Linked DNA regions of Oryctolagus cuniculus. The protein of the gene in region 2 binds, or shares a complex with, the protein of the main gene of each other region. Links are inferred from orthologs where the notes say so. Each region holds a gene or a part of one and is shown on either strand. Other genes may lie near its edges.

The links.
Region 1: the proteins of MLXIPL (region 2) and YWHAB are in contact, whole or in part, in a crystal structure (PDB 6YGJ), measured with the Homo sapiens proteins. The link is inferred for Oryctolagus cuniculus from reciprocal best matches to the Homo sapiens genes MLXIPL and YWHAB. Residues at the interface, in NP_116569.1 of Homo sapiens: Asp118, Ile120, Arg121, Asn124, Ala125, Trp127, Arg128, Ala129, Trp130, Tyr131, Ile132, Tyr134; in NP_003395.1 of Homo sapiens: Gly55, Arg58, Ser59, Trp61, Arg62, Ser65, Ser66, Gln69, Lys70, Arg129, Val178, Tyr181, Glu182, Asn185, Leu218, Gln221, Leu222, Asp225, Asn226, Leu229, Trp230.

What each region holds. Positions count from the first base shown.
Region 1 is NC_091442.1:14,268,000-14,279,220, forward strand, and holds the start of YWHAB (14-3-3 protein beta/alpha), read right to left. Parts: upstream 6,215-11,221; 5' UTR 6,079-6,214; intron 1-6,078. UniProt on the Homo sapiens protein: Adapter protein implicated in the regulation of a large spectrum of both general and specialized signaling pathways. Binds to a large number of partners, usually by recognition of a phosphoserine or phosphothreonine motif.
Region 2 is NC_091450.1:50,445,874-50,456,619, reverse strand, and holds the end of MLXIPL (carbohydrate-responsive element-binding protein), read right to left. Parts: intron 9,965-10,746; coding exon 9,882-9,964; intron 9,769-9,881; coding exon 9,679-9,768; intron 9,414-9,678; coding exon 9,369-9,413; intron 8,933-9,368; coding exon 8,731-8,932; intron 8,614-8,730; coding exon 8,533-8,613; intron 5,089-8,532; coding exon 4,919-5,088; intron 3,766-4,918; coding exon 3,225-3,765; intron 3,017-3,224; coding exon 2,949-3,016; intron 2,864-2,948; coding exon 2,713-2,863; intron 2,600-2,712; coding exon 2,487-2,599; intron 2,392-2,486; coding exon 2,272-2,391; intron 2,060-2,271; coding exon 1,932-2,059; intron 1,834-1,931; coding exon 1,710-1,833; intron 1,402-1,709; coding exon 1,272-1,401; intron 1,061-1,271; coding exon 942-1,060; 3' UTR 492-941; downstream 1-491. UniProt on the Homo sapiens protein: Binds DNA as a heterodimer with MLX/TCFL4 and activates transcription. Binds to the canonical E box sequence 5'-CACGTG-3'. Plays a role in transcriptional activation of glycolytic target genes. Involved in glucose-responsive gene regulation.

The DNA.
Region 1 (11,221 bases), on a different chromosome or scaffold from region 2:
GTCCCTGCACTTGTTAAGTGCTTAAATAAATGGCAGTCAGTATACTCCACTCAAAAAGTTAACAGCCAGCCAGAGAAGGGGCACTTACTACTTACCTCGTTTCTTTTAAATCTAGGCTGCCCCCCCCCCTTTTTTTTTTTTGAAAGATTTATTTTTTTACTTGAAAGAATAACAGAGAGAGCAAGAGACAGATCCTCCACCTGCTGCAACGGTGGGGCCTGGGCAAGACTCAAGCCAGGGTCTCCCAAATGAGTGGCCAGGGCCCAAGTACTTGGGCCGTCTTTTGTCGCTTTCACAGGCCATTAGCAGGGAGCCTGACTGAAAGTGGAGCAGCTGGGGCACAAGATGGCCACAGCGACATCACTGGCAGCAGCTTTCCTCAATGACTCTTCTAAGACAAGTACATTTTAATTTACCTGTGCCTATTTCTAGAATAGCACTTATCATGGTTTACTTGCAAATATCTTCTCCCACACTGGATTGTGAGCTTAAGGTAGGAACCAAGACTTCTATCTTTGGACACCCAACTCAGCACTATGTCTGACACAATACATTTAAGACCATCCAATCAATTGATGCATTTTTCTTAAGGTGAACAAGCTGTACTTTTCAATGTGGACAAAGCAGGCAGACCACCTCTGATAAATGTACAGTCTATCTGAGCCTGCCTTATGAAAAGAATTGCTTCAGTTCTTATCAGGAGACAACACTAAGTTTTTTGACTAATATTTTCCAGCCACTAATCTTTGAACTTATATATTCAAAGTGAATTTAAATAAGCCCTCAGAATACCTCCTGTCCATCTCCTTCATTCAAAAGCACAACTGGTTGCCGGCGCCGCGGCTCACTAGGCTAATCCTCCGCCTTGCGGCGCCGGCACACCGGGTTCTAGTCCCGGTCGGGGCACCGGATTCTGTCCTGGTTGCCTCTCTTCCAGGCCAGCTCTCTGCTGTGGCCAGGGAGTGCAGTGGAGGATGGCCCAAGTCCTTGGGCCCTGCACCCCATGGGAGACCAGGACAAGTACCTGGCCCCTGCCATCGGATCAGTGCGGTACGCCGGCCGCAGCGCACTGGCCACGGCAGCCATTGGAGGGTGAACCAACGGCAAAGGAAGACCTTTCTCTCTGTCTCTCTCTCTCACTGTCCACTCTGCCTGTCAAAAAAACAAAACAAAACAACAAAAAAACACACACAACTGGTTAAGCAATACAAAACACCAGCTGATTTAGTAAATAACAAATAACTTATGGTCTACCTAAATGTGCAAGGCACTTAAGGATTTACATCAACTCATTTAATCCTCAGTATCTGATGAAGCAGCTAACACTGTACCCTTTTACAAATAGTAACCTGCTCAGGGTTACACAGCTATAAATAGTAGAACTGGGATCTAAACCAGTCATAATTTAAAAATCAACACTCCTTTAATGCAGCACTATCTACTAAAAATCAATTACAGGAGCTGGTGCTGTGGCATAACGGGTAAAGCCTCTGCCTGCACTGCCGGCATCCCACATGGGCACTGCTCCACTTCTGATCCAGCACTCTGCTATGGCCTGGGAAAGCAGTGGAAGATGGCCTAACTCCTTGGGCCCTTGCACCTGCATGGGAGACCCAGAAGAAGTTCCTGGATTCAGATCGGCACAACTCCAACCATTGTGGCCATTTGTGGAGTGAATAAGCAGATGGAAGACCCTCCACCACCACCCCGCCTCTTGTCTCTCGGTAACTCTGCTTTTCAAATAATGAATAAATAAATCTTTTTTAAAAAAAGACTGATTCCCAATGCTTGCTTAAGACAGAATCTCCAGCTTTTTGAAGACCGGCACTACAGAGAAGTTTCCTAACTACTTCATGTTAGCTTTCAATCTTTTTATCCTTGTCAAGGCCACTCAGAAATAACTCTACTTATTGGGTCTCTTAAGGAAAACAAACCAAATAAACAGTATATGAAAACTGTACATAATAAAGCATTGGCCAGAATTCCTAAAAGAGCCAACTGCTCCAAAATCTGCTGGGAATGACCCATCCTGGTGAGACCATCTCTCATTTGCATCTCACAACTATCAGAAACACTTAAGATGCCACTACTTGATCTTATAGTAGGAAAAGCTGTAACATACATCACAAAAATACAAAGTACTCTATTTTTCCTCCCTAAGTATTCCCCTTAGAATTATCGCTTCCGAACGCAGCTCCAACTGTGTCTCACCATGACACTCAGGTGACTATGAGGACCATATTCACACAGAGCAAGATCGCTCTAAAGTGTAAGTTGTGGGGCCAGTGCTGTGGAGGAGCAAGTTAAGCCACTGCCTGCAAGGCAGGCAAGCCAGTTTGAGTCCCAGCTCCTCCACTTCCAATCCAGCTCCTCTAATGGCATGCGAAAGCAGTGGAAGATCTCCACCCATGTAGACTGATCAGGATGAAGTTCCTGGTTCTGGCTGGCCCAGCACTGCCTGTTGCGGCCACTTAGGGAGTGAACCTGCAGATGGAAGAGCTCTCTGCCTCTCCTTCTCTCTCACTCTGCCTTTCAAATAAATATCTAAATTAAAAAAAAAAAAAAAAAAGCTTAAGTTGCTTTTCTTGCCCCCTACTAGGATGAACCATCACCTCCCCTAAAAAAATGTAGGAACCAAGGAACTTAAAACTCTCTTTACAAAGAAATTTTTATTTACTCTCTAAGGCATTCTTTTTTTTTTTTTTTAAAGATTTATTTATTTATTTGAAAGTCAGAGTTACACAGAGACAGGAGAGGCACAGAGAGAGAGAGAGAGAGGTCTCCCATCCGATGGTTCACTCCCCAGATGGTTGCAACGGCCGGAGCTCTGCCGATCCGAAGCCAGGAGCCAGCAGCTTCTTCCAGGTCTCCCACGTGGGTACAGGGGCCCAAGCACTTGGGCCATCTTCTACTGTTTCCCAGGCCATAGCAGAGAGCTGGACAGGAACCGGGCCCATATGGGATGCCGGTACTTCAGGCCAGGGTGTTAACCCACTCTGCCACAGCACCAGCCCCTAAAGCATTCTTATTTAAAGAAAAACTGCTTAGTTTGGTGCCACTGAAGGAGCAGGTAGCATAACGTGACACTGTAATTTAAAATTTTTCCTTTACATATATATTCCTTCAACTCCAACAAACTATGTTAAATCTCAAAATCTACAGAAAAATACATGATAAATAAAAACTAATGATGGTCATGATCAAATTCGTTTTGATGAAGAATCTAGGTCTGTGTCCCACAAAGTAACCCAGGAGCTTTCGCCCTAGAAAAACTGGATTCCTCCCAGGCGTGCTTCATGATGCACACCTGCGGCTTCATTCCCACAGGTCAGAATGGGCACCCCCCCCCATAAAGTACATTACGGATCTACTGTCAAAAATAGCTACAATTCAAATTCAAGGATATAGAATACATGTAAAGAGAAATTAAAGGCTAAATGGTGTTTAAATAAATGATCGGCATGTGTTGCTCTACAAGTAGACACCTACTCTTTGTTAGTGCCAGATCACCTGGCTCCAATTCCTTCCTGACTCTAGAACTTACCTTGAGCTGTACATGGAAGGGGTCTTGGGAAAATTATTCTTCTCTGTGCCTCAGTTTCCTCATCTGTAAAATGAGGCTAACAGTATTTACCTCTCACTAGTTGTTATTAAGACTAATATAAAATGCTTAGAACAAATTGTGGCACACAGCAAATACTGTAATTATTATTTATTATTATTACTGTTTGATGCTACTTCATCGGTGATAAATAAATCAAACAGGTGTAGTCTACATTCCTGTTTATGTCATACAATATACGCTACGCCTGATCTGCACATGTGCACATTCACGCATGTGGTTAATCACCTTCTGTATCCCAGATGCTCATTTTAATTACTGAGTTGTCACAATACATCAAAGGCTGCATCACCACTTGCACTGTACAGATGAGAAAATGACAGACTAGATTTTCTATGTGCAAAATAAAAATTGGTAACAACACCATTTTTTGAAAGCAGTATGTGCACAAAGCAGGGCTGGGTCTCAAATGTAACTGGAGAAAAGCAAATTGTCATAAAAAAAAAAGCAAAAGCTTTCATTTAACAATTTACAGTTTGTAAAAAAGCTTCATGACCACACTAGAGATTAACTAAAATGCTGCAAATCATACTAAAAAATATTACCGCCTACATCTGAAGTGCATTTACCTGGTTCCAATTTCAATACTCCTTTGGTTTCTGCACCTACAGCCAAATGGGCAAGATGCACATTTCGCAGTGGCTCAGATCTCCGGAGACGCTGCCTAGGAACTAGCACCATGGGAATCTGCTCAGCCTGGTTTCAGAAAGGCTGCCTCCCTGATCCAGGGAGATCCAATTCTAAAATGGCTTCACCATAACACAAGCACTGCATCATGGGAAATGTACACAAAATTACAGGGTAGGAGCCATACTCCAGGGGCTTACGGTCCATAAATATTTGCTACTGATGAATAAGGATATTCAGTGTGAAGCTAAGTGTGTGGGCTAGGCCAAATCACCTTTCTCATACAGACTTCATCTGTAAGATGGGTGACTGACTTATCTCATTGAAGGCAGATGGGAAAATAATCCAGCCATTGCTACTGGATTTGCAGCCACCCATTTTGAAGGCCAAGCTTAAAATTCCAACTTGGACCTGACAAAACTGACCAGTTTTTATACTCTCCATACTATGTGCTGTTAGAGACATGGGTCAGAAAAAATGAGGGCTCAGATATCTAAAATATCCCTGAGAAAGAAATGGCGTGCACTGGAAGCAATGAAGAAATTCACTACCGAGCAATATTTCTATACATACAAAATTCCAACAGGAAGATGCAGAAATCTCAGTGGCCACGTGTCCATTTCTACATCACTGTATATGGTGTGTGCCTCCATGTGGACCATTCAGACAAAGTAATCAGTGCAAGGAACCTTCAGCTTCCCAGCGCTCCATTTCTCCCTCGTGGCTCCTGTAGCCAGCCGATTTTCTATGTTCGCAACATCATCTTGCCAAATTCCAGCTCCCACACAGGGCAAGGAAAATCAGAGCCTGATGCCATCCAGCCTTTACCAAAGAGAACTGCAGCAAAGGCAAGGACAAGACGCCATGTATTTTTACAGAAAGGTTGGCAAACTGTCTTAGCCAATGCTGCCACCTTTGAAAACTCCATTACATGCGAGTTCTCCATTTGCAATAGGCAAAAATGGACTCAGCTTCTATAGAAAAGGAGTCGAGCGTTCTCATCCCTTCCCCCGGCTACCAGGGAAATTCGGGACTGAAAAACGTGCTCTCACACACAGTCAGGGGGAATCTGGGCCGAGGACACGAAACACTCGGGCGTTAAATGACGGCGCATGCCCTGGGAAAATATTCCCAACACCAGCTGGTGGCTTTTTTCCCCTGGAGATCCGGCCTGACTCAGACATCGGTCCCAACAAATGCATTTTCTTGCTTCAAACCTCCGACCTGATCTTCCCAGGGAATCTCGGGTCCTGCCGGGCTCCGTACCCAGCGGAGGATGATGAAATGGCTTTGCTGCAAAGTGGGTGGGGGTTTCCCCCCTGCTGTCTCCCAAGGTTAAACCCCTTACTCATCCAGGGGTAGCCAAGCAGGGGCACCGGGGCGCAAGAACTCGCCTGCGTTTGCTTAAATTTTAATTTTTGGAAGCCGGAAAGCCCCAGAGCCGCAGTGACAGGGCTGAAAAGGGTAGTTCTCGCCGACCGAGGCGCAGGGAGGGGTCGCGCCGGGGATAAAAGCCCAGCCAGGAGGGAGGGGCCGGGGCCAAGGCTCAGCCGTCCCCGACCCGCAGTACCGAGCCGCACCCTGCCCGCCTGGCAGGGCCGCCGGCGGCGCGGGAGGCCCGGGCTTCTGCAGGCGAAGGGCCCGGCCCCGGAAACAGGGAGGGGCCGCGGCGAGGTCGGGCCCGCGCCGCAGCCGGCAGCCAGGGCCGCGGCAGCCGCGCACCGCCACCCCCGGGGGCTCACCCGCAGGGCCGACATCGCAGCCGCGGGCTGAGGGGGACCTGGAGCGTGGGCCCCTGGGGGCCCCGGGCGGGCCCGCGCCGCACTCACCGTGGGAGGGCTGCAGGGGGCAAAGAGGCTTCCGAGCGAAGCTCCGAGAGCGGCGACCGCTTCCTTCCCAAGCCTGCTCCTCAGGCAGCGGCGACGGCGGCTGCAGGGGCGGCAGCGGCAGCAGCTAACCAGGCTCCGGAATCGGCGGCGGCGGTGGCTGCAGCTCCACTTCCGCTCCGGCCACCGCTTCCGCTTGGCTCAAGCCCCGCCCCTCCCTGCGCCGTCTTCTCATTGGGCAAGTGAGGCACGGGGTTGCCCTGGCCGCCCGAGAGGGGCGCTGACGGCAGGGAGGAGGAAGAAGAGCCCAGTGCAGGGCCGCAGCGGACCGGGGCGGGCGCAGGGCCGGGAGAGGTAGCAGGGAGGAGGCGGCCGAAGGGGAAGGAAGTGGGGCGGGGGGACGGGAAGAGGAGGCGGGAGGAGAGAGGGCGGAGATGGGGGTGGAGGTCCAGAGATGGGATGTGTGGGAACAGGGAGGACTCGGGTGGGGGAGCGCCCGCGCTGCTTAGGTTGGAGCCTGGGCAGGGCCAGGCACAGCGATTCCCAGGGTGCAGGTTCCCACGCCACCCCGGAAGTAGTCCTCCCGGGGGTCGGAGCCCCAGCGCACACACCCTTTGGCTGCGTGCTGTGCGAATAACTGGACCTCGGAAGACAGAAATTGCTCGTCCCCCCGTTTTCGGTTTATCCGCCTTTCTGTACTTAAGGGACTATCTCCTGCCCTCATAGCCTGAAGAGGCCACGTGAAGGTCTTCTGAAAAAAACCTGTGCACATGGTTTCTTCATTGAGGAAGCTGCAGGGAGGCGCACGGGGCCGCGTGGCCCCTCACCCTCTCTGGCCTCTCACCTGTTCATGCTGACAGATGCGGAGCGGGTTTTCCGCTTAGTGCTGGAGAGACAGCAATACACAGGAGAGAGGGGGCCCTGCTCCCCTGGGAGTCTGGCGGCAGAAGAAAAAAGTACCTGGGTCGCGTTGCTGTCATCTCTCCCTTACCCTTATTTAGTTAATGATAGAGATCTAATTCGCCACACCATGCCCAGCCCCGCCTCTATCAGCTGCCTACTGATCTAAAAATGCAGGTGTAGCAGTTACGGTGGGGGGCACCCAGATTCCAGCTTCTTGCTAAGTCCCACCCTGGGAGACGGCAGGTGATGGCTCCAGCAGTTGGATCCCTGCCATTCGCCTGGGAGACATGGTTTGAGTTCCTATTCCTGGCTTCTGCCTGGGCTGGTCTGGCCATTTGGGGAGTGAACCAGTAAATGCGAGTGCTCTTTCTCAAGTATATTTTTAAAAAATGTTTAATGCCATTCTAATCATGTTCTGTCCCTACTTAAATCCTTTGCTGATCACTCAGACCTTGAAAACTATCAATAGTAAGTTCCTTGAGTGTTACAATCAAGGTTTTCCAGAAGCTCCCCTTACCCATACATAACCCATCGTAAATACCCTAACCCCGTTGGATGACTCCTTACCCCCCAGCGGGACTATTTCTAAACAGTTTGAGTTGGCAGTGTTTTCGAAAGCAGAGATTTCCGGCCATCGCTGCCTTCTCTGGCAACACTTGGCCGAAGCCGGGGAGTGGCTGCCTTACTCTAGACTGGGCACGGACTTCCCAAAGTGCCAGGGTGCCCTGCAAATCTGAGTCTGCCACCCAAATGTGCCTTCCTCAGTTACAGTAACCGCTGCATAGGCCTTTGTGCCTGCAACGCCTGGGTTATCCCACACGGCCTGAACCACTTACCGGCTTTTAACTTTGACGAAGTTGGGAACCTGGTATAGAATGTAAGCAGCGTGGACTTGAATCAGAACCGCTGGGTTGAATCCCAGAGAGAGTTGCCAGTGCAAAAACTTGCCTGTGGGGATCTTTGCACACCAAAGGCCAGTGATCCAGAGACTGCTCAGGAGCAGTAAGCTGTAACGTGACGTGACTGTGTCTTATGCTCCCACCCGGAACACAGCCTACTGAGTCAGAGGGTTCATAGTGATTCCACCACAGGTTACATCATCGGCAGCACAGAAGTGCCCTTTGTCAGGCATCCCTGGGTGCCTGCTAACGGATTGCATAGCTAGCTCCTTTTGCCACCTCTGCATTCTAGAACAGAGGTCAGTGAGCTATGGCTATTAACTGGCAGTCATACAAAGAGGTATAAAACAGGATGTGGAATACGCAACCATATGTGCGCAGGGTCCTGTTCAAGCTTGGGAGAAGGGCCCCTAACCCATCTTGGGGGTGTGGCAGAAGAGCAGGCAAGACTTCCTGGGAGAGATGATGCTTGAGCTTTCGATTCTGCAATGCATTTTCTAAAATTAATAGGCTTTTTAGAGTATTAAGTTTGCAGAAAAATTGACCAGAGAATTTTAATATTTCCCTCTCCCCCCAACACCAACCACCCCCCACAAACACCCAGGCTCACAGTTTCCCTTATCATTCGGATAAGGATTCCCTTATCATTAGGATATTGTATTAGTGTAGTGTATTTGCTAGAATAGATATACCAATATTAATACATTATGTTTAAAGTCCATTTACAGTAGAGTTCATGTTTTGTATTGTACACAGTTCTGTGGGTTTTGACAATGCACAATGTGATGTAGCTGTCATTAAAGTATACAGAAGAGTTTGCTACCCTACTAATCCCCTGGTCCTGGGGGCTGGCGCTGTGGCGCAGTGAATTAATGCCCTGGTCTGAAGCAAGTCCCAGCTGCTCCACTTTTGATCCAGCTCTCTGCTATGGCCTGGGAAAGCAGTAGAGGATGGCCCAAGTCCTTGAGACTCTGCACCTGCGTGGGAGACCTGGAAGCAGCTTCTGGCTCCTGGCTTTGGATCAGCGCAGCTCTGGCCGTTGCCATCTGGGAGTGAACCATCGGATGGAAGACTTTCTCTCTCTGCCTCTCCTCTCTCTGTGTAACTCTGACTTTCAAATAAATAAATAAATCTTTAAAAAAAAAAAAAAGAATCTCCCTTTCTCTCTCTCCCACTGTCTAACTCTGCCTGTCAAAAAAAAAAAAAAATCTCCTGGTCTTCCAGGAACTTCCTAGCTTACCCCCAAACCTTTGGCAGCTGCTGGCCTTTTTTTTTTTTTTAAGATTTATTTTATTTATTTGAATGACAGAGTTACAGAGAGAGAGGTCTTCCACCTGCTAGTTCACTCCCCAGATGGCTGCAATGGCTGGAGCTGCATCGATCCAAAGCCAGGAGCCATGAGCTTCTTCCGGGTTTCCCACGTGGGTGCAGGGGCCCAAGAACTTGGGCCATCTTCTGCTTTCCCAGGCCATAGCAGTGAGCTGGATTGGAAGTGGAGCAGCTGGGACTAGAACCGGTGCCCATATGGGATGCCGGCGCTTCAGGCCAGGGCTTTAATCCGCTGCGCCACAGCGCTGGCCCTAGCCACTGACCTTTTGCACTCTGTAATTTTGCCTTTTCCAGAATGTCATTAGAGTTGGATCACATAGTATGTAGCCTTTTCCTGCGGAATTCTTTCACTAAGCAATATGATTTGAAGTTTCTTTGTGTCTCTCACTGAGTAATATCTTATTGTATGAATGTACTAGCTTGTTAATTTATTCCTAAGAATCAACTATGTCTTCCAAAAAGATAGATTGAAATCTTATTCCTTATATGTCTGTGAATGTGACTTTATTTGGACAAAGTCTTTGCAGACGTGATCAAGTTAAGCTGAGGCTACTGGAGTGGGCCCTATTCTAACATGATAGGTATCCCCACAGAAGAAAATGGCACGTGCTGACAGAGACACATGGAGAATGCCACATGACAGCAGAGGCAGAGACCAGGGTGATGAAGCCATAAACCAGTGACCACCAGGGATCCACAGCCACCACCAGAAACCAGGATTCTCTCCAGAGTTGCAGCTGACATACTGAATCCAGACATCTAACCTCCAGAATTGTAAGAGAAGAAATGTCTGTGGGTATTTTTTAAAGCTTTTTATTTAGTGTATTTTAAAAAAAAATTTTATTTATTTTTAAAGATTTATTTTATTTATTTGAAAGACAAAGTTACAGAGAGAGGTAGAGCCAGAGAGAGAGAGAGAGAGAGAGAGGTCTTCCATCCACTGGTTCACTCCCTAAATGGCTGCAATGGCCTGAGCTGAGCTGATCTGAAACCAGGAGTGAGCCAGGAGCTTCTTCTGGGTCTGCCATGTGGGTACAGGGGCCCAAGCACTTGGGCTATCCTCCACTGCTTTCTCAGGTCATAGCAAAGAGCTGGATCAGAAGTGGAGCAGCCCGAACTTGAACCACACCCACATGGGATGCCAGCTCTGTAGGCTGGGGCTTTAAGCCGCTGCACCACAGTGCCAACCCCTGTTTGGTGTATTTTCAAAGACTTTATTGAGTGTATTTTATTTTATTCTAAGATTTATTTTATTTATCTGAAAGGCAGAGTGACATCGGGGGAGACACAGAAAGAGAGATCTGTACCCTGGCTCACTCCCCAAATGACCACAACAGCCAGGCTAGGCTAGGCTAAACCCAGGAGCCTGGAATTTGATCTGGGTCTCCCACACAGGTGGCAGGGGCCCAGGTGCTTAGGTCATCTTCTACTGCCTGCTCAGGTAAATTAGCCAGGATCTGGATTGGAAGTGGAACAGCTGGGAATCAAACCTGCACTCTGATATGGAATGCTACATTTCATAACCCACTGCACCACAGTGCCAGCCCCTGATTTTCCCTAAAATTTTAGAATCAGTTTGTCCGCATCCACAAAATAACTTGTTGGGATCTTTATTGGGATAGTGGTAAACTTATAGATCAAATTGGGAAGAACTGGTAACAATATGAGTCTTTCTACCCACACCATGGACAATCTCTCCATTTATTTAGATTTTCTTTAACTTCTTTCGTTAGTTTTGTAGCTTTCCTCACATAGATCCTGTGCATATTTTGTTAGATTTATACCTATTTATGTGCTAATACAAATGGTATTGTGTTTTAAACTTCAGATTCAACATGTTTATTGCTGGCAAATAGGAAAGTAATTGATTGTATATTAACCAAGCATCTTGCAACCTTGCCTTAATCACTTATTAGTTCCAGGGGGTTTTGGCAGTTCTTTGGATTTTTTTATATACACAATGATATCTTCTATGGGCAAAGGGGGTTTTACTTCTTCCTTCTCAATCTACCTGT
Region 2 (10,746 bases):
GGGTGTGTGGCTTGCGGGAAACACCAAGCACTTCTGGGCTTGTTCTTTGCAGGCTCAGATGAGAACTGACAGCCCACAGAAGCCCATGTGTGCGTTTCTTGCAACCCACAGGTGCGTCCAGATGTCCCACTGAACGCCAGCTCCACAGAAGGGGAGATAGAGCCGCAGGCTGTGGCCTGGTCCCCAGCAGGCCCACAGGAAATAGTGGCACCTCCACTCCCATCGTCCTAGCTCCGCCCTCTTCCAGCCCCAAAGGCAGCCTCCCTGGCCTCTCTCTTGGCCTGGAAGGAGGATTTCCTGCACAGGAGCCAGGCCCTGGCCCCACCTGGACACACACAGCAGCCTCCTAACTGGTCTTCCTGCTCGTGTACCTATTCTCAGCCCAGCCCACCTCTCCCCGCCACCCCGGGGCAAGGTCTTGGTCGGGGACTCCCAACTCCTCCCACTGCCACCGACAAGGCACGTGGACAGTCACATGGACAAAACAGCAAGGCGGTTTTTGCTTTTATTGGTTAAGAATTCTTTACAAAACACACTCACACATGCGCACACACACACACGCACATGCGACGCCTGCCCTGGTCTCTCCCAGGGTCAGGTCTTTCTGGCTTCACTCCAGGGGCCCTCCCCAGCCCCCCACACCGTGCCCCGCTGCTGGGGAGCAGGTGGGGTTGACCTCTTCCCTCTTTGAACTCCCTGAGTCACCAGTGCAGGTGCTGACGTCATGGTTGTTGCTAAGGCCTTGGGGACGTCGGCTGCTGGAAGCCTCCGTGTGTCCATTTTTGCAGATTGGAAGACAGAGGCCCACGTCGGTGTACAGTATGAGACTCGGCGGGACCTGACTCAATCCATCCTCAGGGGAGGGCAGAGCCAGGGCCTGGGGCAGTAGGGGAGCACATGCCCGGGGAAGACAGCCCCAGGGCAGCCGGGTCTGGCCGGGACTACAGCGGTTTGCCAAGGGTGCCCTCTGTGACTGCCCGCGTGGCTTGCTCAGGTACACGGCCTGGGTCGGTCAGGATACTGGTGGACGTGCTCAGCTGGCGTAGGGAGTTCAACACGGCTAGGGGGTGGCAGTGGGGAGACAGACTGTCACCTGGGGTCAGGCCCTATACCCCGGGATGCTGCGGACAAATGGTGGTGGTGGTAGTGGGGAGACCCTGCAGGGAGCAGATCCCAGGCTGTGTGGGAGGCCAGAGGGACCTGGGGTCTGAGCAGGGCTCTGAGCAGTTGCCCACCCTCGGGGCAACGCGCCTGCAAGGTGGCTCACGTACTTGGCCGGAGAGCCGGCAGGGAGCAGTACTGATCCAGCCAGGCCAGCGAGGTCTGACGGAGGCTGTGCAAGCTGGCCGTGGACACCATGCCATTGAAGGACTCGAACAGGGGTCGGATGAGGATGCTGAACTGGTCCCAGGTCAAGGAGCGGGTCTGAGGCCAGGCTGGTGCCCCCACAGCCTCACTCACCCTAGCCCTGACCCTAGGTGGGGCCTGGACACCATCCAACCACAGGCTCCGGTGACTCGCGCTGGTGCACCCGTCCCATCCCCACCAAGGCCCTGACTCCTACGCTCTTCTCCCAGTCCCTCCACGGCCCTTTGCGCTGACCGAGAAGCCAGGGGTCAGGGAGCAGGAGGCAGACCCACAGCCCGTCCCCCCTCCCCCACTGCCCCTCCCCTGGGAGCGGCCCTGGGCTGCCGCGCGCGCTAGGATACCACCCAGAACTTCCAGTTGTGCAGCGTGCGCGTCCGCACGTAGTCATCGAACATGTCTCGCATCTGGTCGAAACGCTGGTGCGTGATGGGCACCCCCGTGGCGGGCAGCTGCTGCTGGCACAGGCTGCGGGCGGGCGCAGGCGGGCGCGCTCAGGGCTGGGAGGCAGACAGTCCCGGCCCTCCCCAGGAGGCCACGGCGCCCGCCAGAGGGACCCTGCCTACTTGATGGCGGCGTTGAGCTCCTCGATCTCGTCGCGCAGCTGCTGGGCCTCCTCCTGCATGGCCGCGCGCTCCTGCTGCAGCATGACGATGTACTCGGCCGTCTTCTGGAGCGTGGTGGCCTTGCTCACCTGCGGCCGCCAGCAGGGGGCGCTCAGGCGCTGGGGGCCGTCTCTTCGGACCCGGGGTGTACGTGTGTGTGTCGGGGGGACCCACCCGTTGCACAGCGCGGGGCGGGAGGAGACCGCAGAGCGTGCGGACGCGGTCTCGGGCATGGAGGTGCAGGAAGGGGCCCCGTGGTGGCGGTGGGCAGGGGGCGCCGGCCCGGGCATGGGGGTTGCACCTTGATGCTGGGCTGGGCGCTGAGCGTGCTCACAAGGCCGTGAAGCGTGTCGAACCCCAGCTTGATGTTGAAGCGCCGCTTCTGCTCCGCAGAGATGTGCGTGATGCGCCGGCTCTCGGTCTTGGGGAGCAGACACCGGGTGAGCCCAGGCGGGGGCCCGGGCGAGCCTGGGGGTGGCAGACCCGGGCTCGGAGCCAGGGGGACGACGCCCCCACCTTGTTGTCTGGACGGCCGCGGCTCAGGATGGGTTGAGCGGGAGAGACTCGCAGGCTCAGGGCCGCCTGGCAGGGCGCGGAGTTGAGCTCCACTGACAGCCGCCGCTCACTGCCTGTAGCGGGGACAGAGGGGCCCACAGACAGACCGACACACAGGTGGGGGGGTCCCACTGCCCTGTCCCCCTCAGCCTCTCCGTCTCTTAGAGTCCCTGGGACCCCTCTTTACCGCTGGGTGCCGGGGGCGAAAGTCTTTCCACCTTGGGGACAATCAGGGGCCTGGGAGCGGCCGGGGCAGCGGGGCCTGGCGGTGGCCGGGGTGGCGTAGGGGCCAGGGCCGGGGGATAGAAGGCGCAGGAGAATTCAGGGGTGGGCTCCTGCTGCGGTGGAGCAGGGCAGAGGGTTAGGGGGTGGGGAGAGTCCCCGGGCCCCCCCCCACCTCCCTCCCAGTGGCCACCAACTTACGGGGGACTCCGTGGGCTGGAGGAGAGCACCGGGGGCCAGCGGTGGCTCCAGGGCGTGCTCAGGTTTGGCTGTACACAGGCAGGACCGTGAGGGCTGCGCAGGCTGGCCCAAGCCCCATCATTGCTCAGGACTGCGACCTCAGTCCTCTCAGGCACAGCTGGCCGAGGTCCCTAACTCCTTGCCTCCTCCACACCCCTCCCTGCTGGGCCTGCCCCCAGCTCCCCTCCCATGCCTGGTCCACTCCTCCCCCTCTGGCCGCTCTGCTCCGGGTCTCACCTGCAGTGAGCAGCTGCGTGAGACAGGGGTTGTTGCTCCTGGCCGTGGCAGGGGCCAGGGTTGGGGGGCTGGCTTTCCGCCCCCCAAGGGATGTGGTGGGGGGCTTGCATCTGGGCCGCACACCCTGAGGCACTGCGAAGCCAGGCCCGAAGGCAGGCTCTGGGTACCCAGCGGGGAGGTGGCCCAGGGGGAAAGTGGTGGGGGCAGGGCCTTGCACCTGCTGGGGGGTGGGCAGGAAGGGGGTGGGAGCAGGCAGCGGGGACACGCCTGGGGCAGGAGGGGCAGGAGGGGCAGTCAGGAAAGGGAACCTGGGCGGGAAGACAGACTCTCCCTGCTGCAAAGCAGCCTGCGAGGGCGCCGTGGCAGGGAAGGGGGCCGGGGGGCAGGGCTCCAGGCCGGGCACCTTGGCAAGGCTGGGGCATTGGAGGAGAGGTGGGGTCGCAGGGTGGGGCGGCAGCTTGGGCTTGGGGTCTTCAGGAAGGAGGAAGTCAGAGCTCAGGAAGGCACTGGGGTCCAAGGAGCCAGGGCAGCTGCTCCGAGCCTTGTTGGGGGGCAGAGGGGTGGACAGAGAGTTAGAGAGCAGAGTGGGCCCTGCAGCCCCCACACAGCTCCTGCCCTGGTGAAGTGTAGATTGGACACTGGTGGGGGGAGAGGGGAAATAACCCCTGCCTTCCAACACACACACACATGCACACACTCGCACACATACGTATACATGCATGAAGTCATACACATATGCACACATGCACATGCAGTCCCACACGCATACACAACACACAGCAGGGAGAGTCTACTCTGGTGAGCGGAGGGGAGTGCATCTCGACACAAGTCAGCAGGTTTCCTGCCTTCCATTCATCGCCCCGACGAGCAGCCCATCTCCTAACGCTTGCGCCAGTCTGCCCACGGACCAGTCCACCCACCCAGGCTCTATCCATCCATTCTCCACCCAGGCACCCCCCTCCTCATGGAGCTCACTCACCTGCCTCTCCCTGCCCCAGCCCCACTACCTGTCACTCATCCGTCAACCCATCCATCAGCGATCCGCCCATCCGTGAGCCACCTGGGCACCCCGCCCCCCCCCCCCGAGCCTCTCACCTGCCCACCGGCCCATTCATGGAGACACCAAGCAATGCATCTTGGAATCCAGGCAGCAGCCCGTCCATGCCACTGGCCACTCCCTGCTATGCTAAGTCCCCCGCTGGCCACAGCACATCTCCCATTCCTCCCCCAGCCTGCTCGCTCACTGCACAGGCACTACCTGGGTGCGCTTGTGCACCTGGACGGTGGCCAGGGTTGGTGAGCAAAACACTGCCCTTTCTTCCAGCAAGGGAGGAGGAAAGAGACCTCCTCAGTGGGCCACTCTAACAGCCTTGAGATCTGCCCGGGACGGGGAAGGGTGTGACAGCGAGGGGGACAATAGGTCAAGCGCGACTGGAGCTCTCGAGCCAAAATGAGGGTTCCCCAAGCCCTGAACCTGTAGGCTCAGCTTCCCTGCCCTCTCTGCCCCTGGTTTGCTCTCTGCCCGTCTCTTCCCACCGAGGCCCACAATTCCCCCTCCTCCAGGAAGCCTTCCTCCCCAGCCTCCCTCCCAACCTCCCTCGTGTCCAGTTCTGCTTCCCAGGGTCCTCCCTGCCCAGGTGGACGCCGAGACCCAGGCAGGGCCCTGGGGTCAGCTCTCACCCAGGTGGGCTCACCTGCAGGCGGTGGTGTGCTGAGAGCTGGGTCGGACCTGTGGAGGCTGGGGGCACCTCGGGGCCCAGGACCCCGCTGCTGAAGAGGGAATCAGCCATGGGGCCGAAGCTGGGGGGCTCGGGGAGGCTCGGGGGCGCAGGAGTCTGCGGGGGCCGGTAGTTGGTGAAGAAATCTGTAATTGAGTCACACAGGGAGGTGGCACTTAGGGCTCCTGCGGGGGCTGGGAGGCAGTGGGCGGAGAGAGGGCATCAGGCTGGCCCCGGGGCTGGGGTGGGGGTGCTGGCGGGAAAAGGGGGGGCTTACACAGGAGATTGTGAAACTGGGGGCGTTTCTGTCTCACTCACGGGAAGCGGCGACAGAGGCTGGACTGGGGTGGGCATGGCGGGGGCGGTAAGCAGAGACCCCCAGAAACCCAATGGGCCCCCATCCTCGGCCCCTGTCTGCCCCCTACTCCAGTTTCTGCTGGAGGCCCAGGAAGGGGGTGCAGAGAGGGCAGAGTGGGGGGCTGCGGCACCCTAAGGCAGCATGGGTTCGGGGTGAGTTAGAAGTGAGCGAGGTCAGGGGGTCAGAGGCGCTGGGACCAGCTAGGTTTACTGTGAGGTCAAGAGCAGGGTGTTATGAGGGGGTTGACAGTCGGGTGGGGCGGGAGTGGGAGTGGGAGGGGGCCGGGAGGCCCGAGGCGCTGGGGAGGAGGGCGGCCGGATTGTTTGGGGTGCGGGTTGTGTAAGTCTTAGGCTATTCTGGTTTTGGGAAGCAGCTGGCTGACCACATCCCGGGCCGGGGCGCCACCCGCCTACCCGCTCCCTTCCGGCCACCTTTCTCTGACCCGACCAGCCATGGTCCGCGCCAGCTCCCAAGGCCTCCGGGGGCCCTCACTCTGCCCTTCCAGCCCCCCACCCCAACCCAGAGAGTCTCCCCTCCCCCCACCTCAGCTAAGGACACCAGGAATGGGTTGAGTAAAGTCACAGCTGGGACTGGGACCCAGGACCCGGGGGTGTCCAACACATGTGCGTGTGTGCGTGTGTGGGCGTGCGTGCAGCTGACAGCTCTGCCAGGATGTGGGGCCCGAGGGGCCAAGGGGCCGACTCTGGGAGGGTCAGCGTGCTGTCTGCATGTAGCGTCTGTTCCCCTTGGCGTCGCCTCCCGGCGTCTAGAGCTGAGCTGTGCTGAGCTGAGCTGACCTTGCCCCATGCCCTGTGCCGTGTGTGTGTGTGTGTGTGTGTGTGTGTGTGTGTATGTGTCTTTCCTCAGCACAGGGCTAGGAGGTGGCCCCTTGCTGTCCACCGAGGGACTGGACGGACACGGCTGCTGTGGGCCTTTGGTGCTGCGGCTCAGCTGCCCCCCCCACCCCCAGAAGTTCACATCCCGTGTCCGGGAGGGCCTGGATCCCAGTCCCGGCTCCTGGCTCCAGCTTCCTGCTAATGTGCACCCTGCAAGGCAGCAGGCGCTTGGGTCCCGGCCACCCGTGTGGGAGACCTGGCTGGAGCTTGCGGCTGCTGACTCTGCCTGGTCCAGCTCTGACTGTCGCGGGCATTCGGAGAGTGAACCAGGGAGATCTGTCTCTGTGCCGGTCCAATAAAATAGAGGGACTGGGTGGGACAGGGCCAGGGGTCACTGATGCCACCCGGGACTGAGGGACCCTGGGACTGTGGGTCCCACCATCTTGGGGGGCCCAGGCTCCAGTTCACTGTAGCTGCCCACCACACACACAGCAAGCCCGCCCCAGACCTGAGCCTCCAGCCGTCCCCTGACCATGGACAGCCCATGCTGTCCCCACCCTACCTTGGGGCAGTCACTTCCTGGCCCAGCCACCCACTGAGCCCTGAGCCCCTCCAAGGCCTCCCCTCACCCAGTGTGCCCCCGCCGCGGCTCCTGGCCCCTCCCTGGGTTTCCAGCCTGACCTCCCCAGGGAGGGGCCCCTGGGGACACTCAGAGCGGCAGTGCACACAGTGCTCGCTCCAGGGGGCCGCACCAGGCCTACTGTTCTTTGTGACCCATAGCCGCCCCCACCCAGCAGCCACCCTGGATTGACAGTTGATTCCCAGCCCCAGACCAGCTCCTACCTGTGGCGAGGGTTTGGGTGCCCACCCAGGGCTCCTGCTCTCGCAGGCCGCTCTGCTCCCGGGGCACGGCCATCAAGACTTCTGCCCCCAGCAGCCCCCACCCGGCTCAGGGCTGGGGGCGGTTCCTCATTCCCTAGTCCCCGCCCCCATAGGCTTCAAGTCCCCACCCTATAGGCCGCCACCTCTTGACTGACAGCACCCTGGGCGAGGGGGAGGGGGAGGGGTTGGGAATTACCGAAACTGAGCCTCTATCCCAGGGACCCTGTTTTGGTCCCCTAGGCCGCAGGTGAGACAGGCCGAGCCCTGACGTCCGCCTGACATCTACAGCTCAGTGGGGCAGAGACTGTTGTGAGAACCAGGGCATGTGTGACCCCCTCCGCAACCAGCAGGAGCAGCCATGGACTTGGTGGCCCTGCGGGGGAGGCTGGGGAACTTACTATTTTATTTAAACGCTTGCTTTTGAATTGAGGGGTAGACAGAGAGACAGACAGACACAGAAAGCGTTTCCATCCACTGATTCACTCTCTAAATGCCCACAACAGCCAGGGCTGGGCCAGGCTGAAGCCAGGAGCCAGGAGCTCCATCCAGGTCTCCCACGTGGGCGGCAGGGGCCCAAGGACTTGAGCCATCACCTGCTGCCTCCCAGGGTGCGCATTAGCAGGAAGCCGGATGGCAAGTGGTGCAGCCAGGACTTGAATGCTGATGTGGGGTGCAGGTGCCCTAAGCAGTGCCGTACCCACTGCTCTAAACTCCCACACTCCCCCCAAGAACTATTTGCACATGAAAATGATCTAGAGGCGAACTTTGTGGGTCCAAAGGGACATTCTTGGTTTAAGTAGGTTTTCCCAAATGGTTACATGCCACCTGTTCAGGATGGAGGTTAAGACGGCCACAGCCCAAAGCCGCGTGCCTGGCTCTGGCTCCTGGCTCTGGCTCCCTGCTCATGTAGACTCTGGGAGGCAGCAGGCAAGGCTCACATAACAGGGTCCCCGCCGCCCACGTGGGAGACCTGGATCGAGTGGCCAGCTTCTGGCCCTGGCCCTGGTCCTGTTGAGGACATTGGGGGAGTAAATCGGCAGATGGAAGTTCTGTCTGTCCTGTCTCTCTGCCTCTCAAACAAGCACATTAAAGGGTTAAGCCCACCACCTGCAATGCCAGATCCCGCCTGAGCGCCAGTTCAATTCCCGGCTGCTCCACTTCCTACACTGCTCCCTGCTAATGCACCTGGGGAAGCAGCGGAAGATGGCCCAAGTGCTTGGGCCCCTGTACCCACGTGGGAGACCCAGAAGAAGCTCCTGGCTTCAGCCTGGCTCTGTCCTGGCCATTGCTGCCGCTTGGAAAGCAAACCAGCAGATGGAAGATCTCTATCTTCCTCTCTCCGACTTTCAAATCAATCAATCAGTCTATATTTTAAAGGCGAACAGGAAGATTCTTCAGAATCCACCCAGGCCACCTGCCTGGGACAGGCCTGAGGTCTGACAGTCAACCCAAGGCTTTCCTGTACTTGACCCTGCTCCTGCACCCCACCCCACCCCCGGAAGGGCCCCGCCCACCTGAGATCTCCATGAAGTCATCCAGGCTGGGCTGCAGGGGTGTCAGGTCCGGTTGGATCATGTCAGCATTGCCCACGTAGGCTGCAGGGGGCAGTAGTGCACCGTCGGGGCCAGCAGGCAGAGAGCGGCCTGGATCGTCACAGGCCTCGGCCTCCCTCGGCCCCCCTCCCGTCCCCCAGCACCCACCCCGGCCCTCACCATCCTCGGGGGGCAGCTGCAGGGGCGAGGGCCCCGGCTGAGTCATGGTGAAGAGTGTGTCGGAGATGTCGGACAAGAAACTGTCGATGTCCAGCAGCTGCCGGCCGCCTGGCTCCTCCTCGGGGCCCCCCAGCAGCACCGGCACCACGCTGGAGAAGAGCTGCTGGCACCATCGCTCCCGCGGCGGCCACCCCGTTTCCGGCTGGTGGGACAGAGCACTCACCGCCCGGCCCTCTGGGTCACCCCTGTGGGGGGTTCAGCCAGAGCCACACACCCTCACACACATCTGCCCCTCCTCCTCTGTCCCTGCAGGACCCAGTTGGCCACCTGGAAGGCCAAGGTCATCTCGTGGGCCCCTACCAGCTCCCCCAAGGGGTATCCTGGTCTGAAAGAGGACCCCTTCCTGCCCCTTTATACCTGTGTTGGGGGGTGGGGAGGGTTGGGGCCCAGCCCTTAGCTCCCTCGGCACCCCCCGGCCTCCCTCCACTTGCCCAGTGGCCTGGGGGGGTCCTCCCAGTTCTGCGGCCTCCCAAGGGGAGAAGTGCTCCACTAATAGAGCACAGTGAACCCCAGGTCCCTGGCTGGTCCCCTCACTGCCCTGTCCACCGAGGCTGAAGCTGTCCACCCTCTGCACGCACCTGCTTGGGAGCCAGGAGGTCCCCTTCTCTGCTGGACTTCCGGAGCTGCAGGAACACAGAGTCGGACCCTCGATTCCTTGCTCTCGCCCCCCACAAAACGCGAGCCCTCGGTCGGCCTCGGGAGTTCCCCCCAAACCCAGACCCTAGAGGATGCAGCAGGCTGCGAGGAGTCCGCGTGGCCGCACGGTGGCGCTGTCGCCCTCCAGGAACGCAACAGAAGGCGCGAGGCGAGTGGGCTGGGCCGCGGCCGGCAGGGGGCACTGTGGGTGGGGGGAGGTGTTGGGGGGGTGTCCCTGGACTGGCCACTGACCCGCTTCTTGTAGTAAATGCGCCACTTGTGGTACTCTCGCATCACCACCTCGATCCGCCGCTTCCAGTAATTTCCCTCCAGGACGACGGCCTGGGGAGGGTCCAGGGGGAGGGGGCTCAGAGAGAAGGCGGCCCGGGCACCCCGCCCCCAGCTCCCGCCCCTCGCTGCCCCTCTGCAGGGGGAGGGTCCCGGGTCCCCGCTACCTCCGGCTTCCGGTGCTCATCCGCCTCGGGCCCCTGCAGGGGGGTCACGAAACCACACACGGGGCTCTTCCTCCGCTGCACATCTGAGGGAACCGGGCCGGGTCAGGGCGCCCCCAGCCCTTGCATCTCCCCGCCCAAGGGCACTGGTTCTCAAGCAGCACCCCACGAAAACCTGCTGGTGCCGCCTCCTCTGGGAAGCCTTCTTGCCTGCTTTAACCCCCCCCCCCCCAGATCTTCCTCCTCCAGGTATGCACTGACTTCCCACACCTCTGTGCCCGCCCCCAACCCCCGGAGCTTGGGAGCTTCCAGCTGTGGGGCCACAGGAAGTGAGCTGCCCCAAGAAGGTCCTGGCCAGGCTGGAGTCCCCGCAGCAGGCTCCCCACCACCACCACTGACGCCCCAGGCCAGGTCCACCACCTCGGGGAGCCCTACCCCCGCCCCCATCTGCAGTACTGACTTCACCCCAGGCTTGCTCCCTTTGGGCCACCCCCAAAGCTCCCACTGGCACTTGCACCTGCTGCACTCACCCAGCTCCCAGGCTCTTCCCCAACCCCAGCAGCTGCCCCCTCCCTGCTTTCCTGCCTGCCCCCCCCCCCCCGGCTTTGTCCTGGCTGCCCCGCAAAGCCCAGCCCCCAGCCTCTCTCAGGCCACCCTCCCCGGCCCCAGCCCCACATCCAGTTTCCCGAGGTCCCTCCAACAGGAAGTCCCAACACTTGCCACCAAAGCTGGTCCCCAGCTCCCAGCGTCCTCTGCCTAAGCCACAGACCTGGCGGCTCAGTGCCCTAGGATCTGTGATGTCTCTTCCGAGGCCCACCCTCCCGAGCTGGCCTCAAGCCTGCCCAGCGCCTCCCTGATGCCAGCCCCA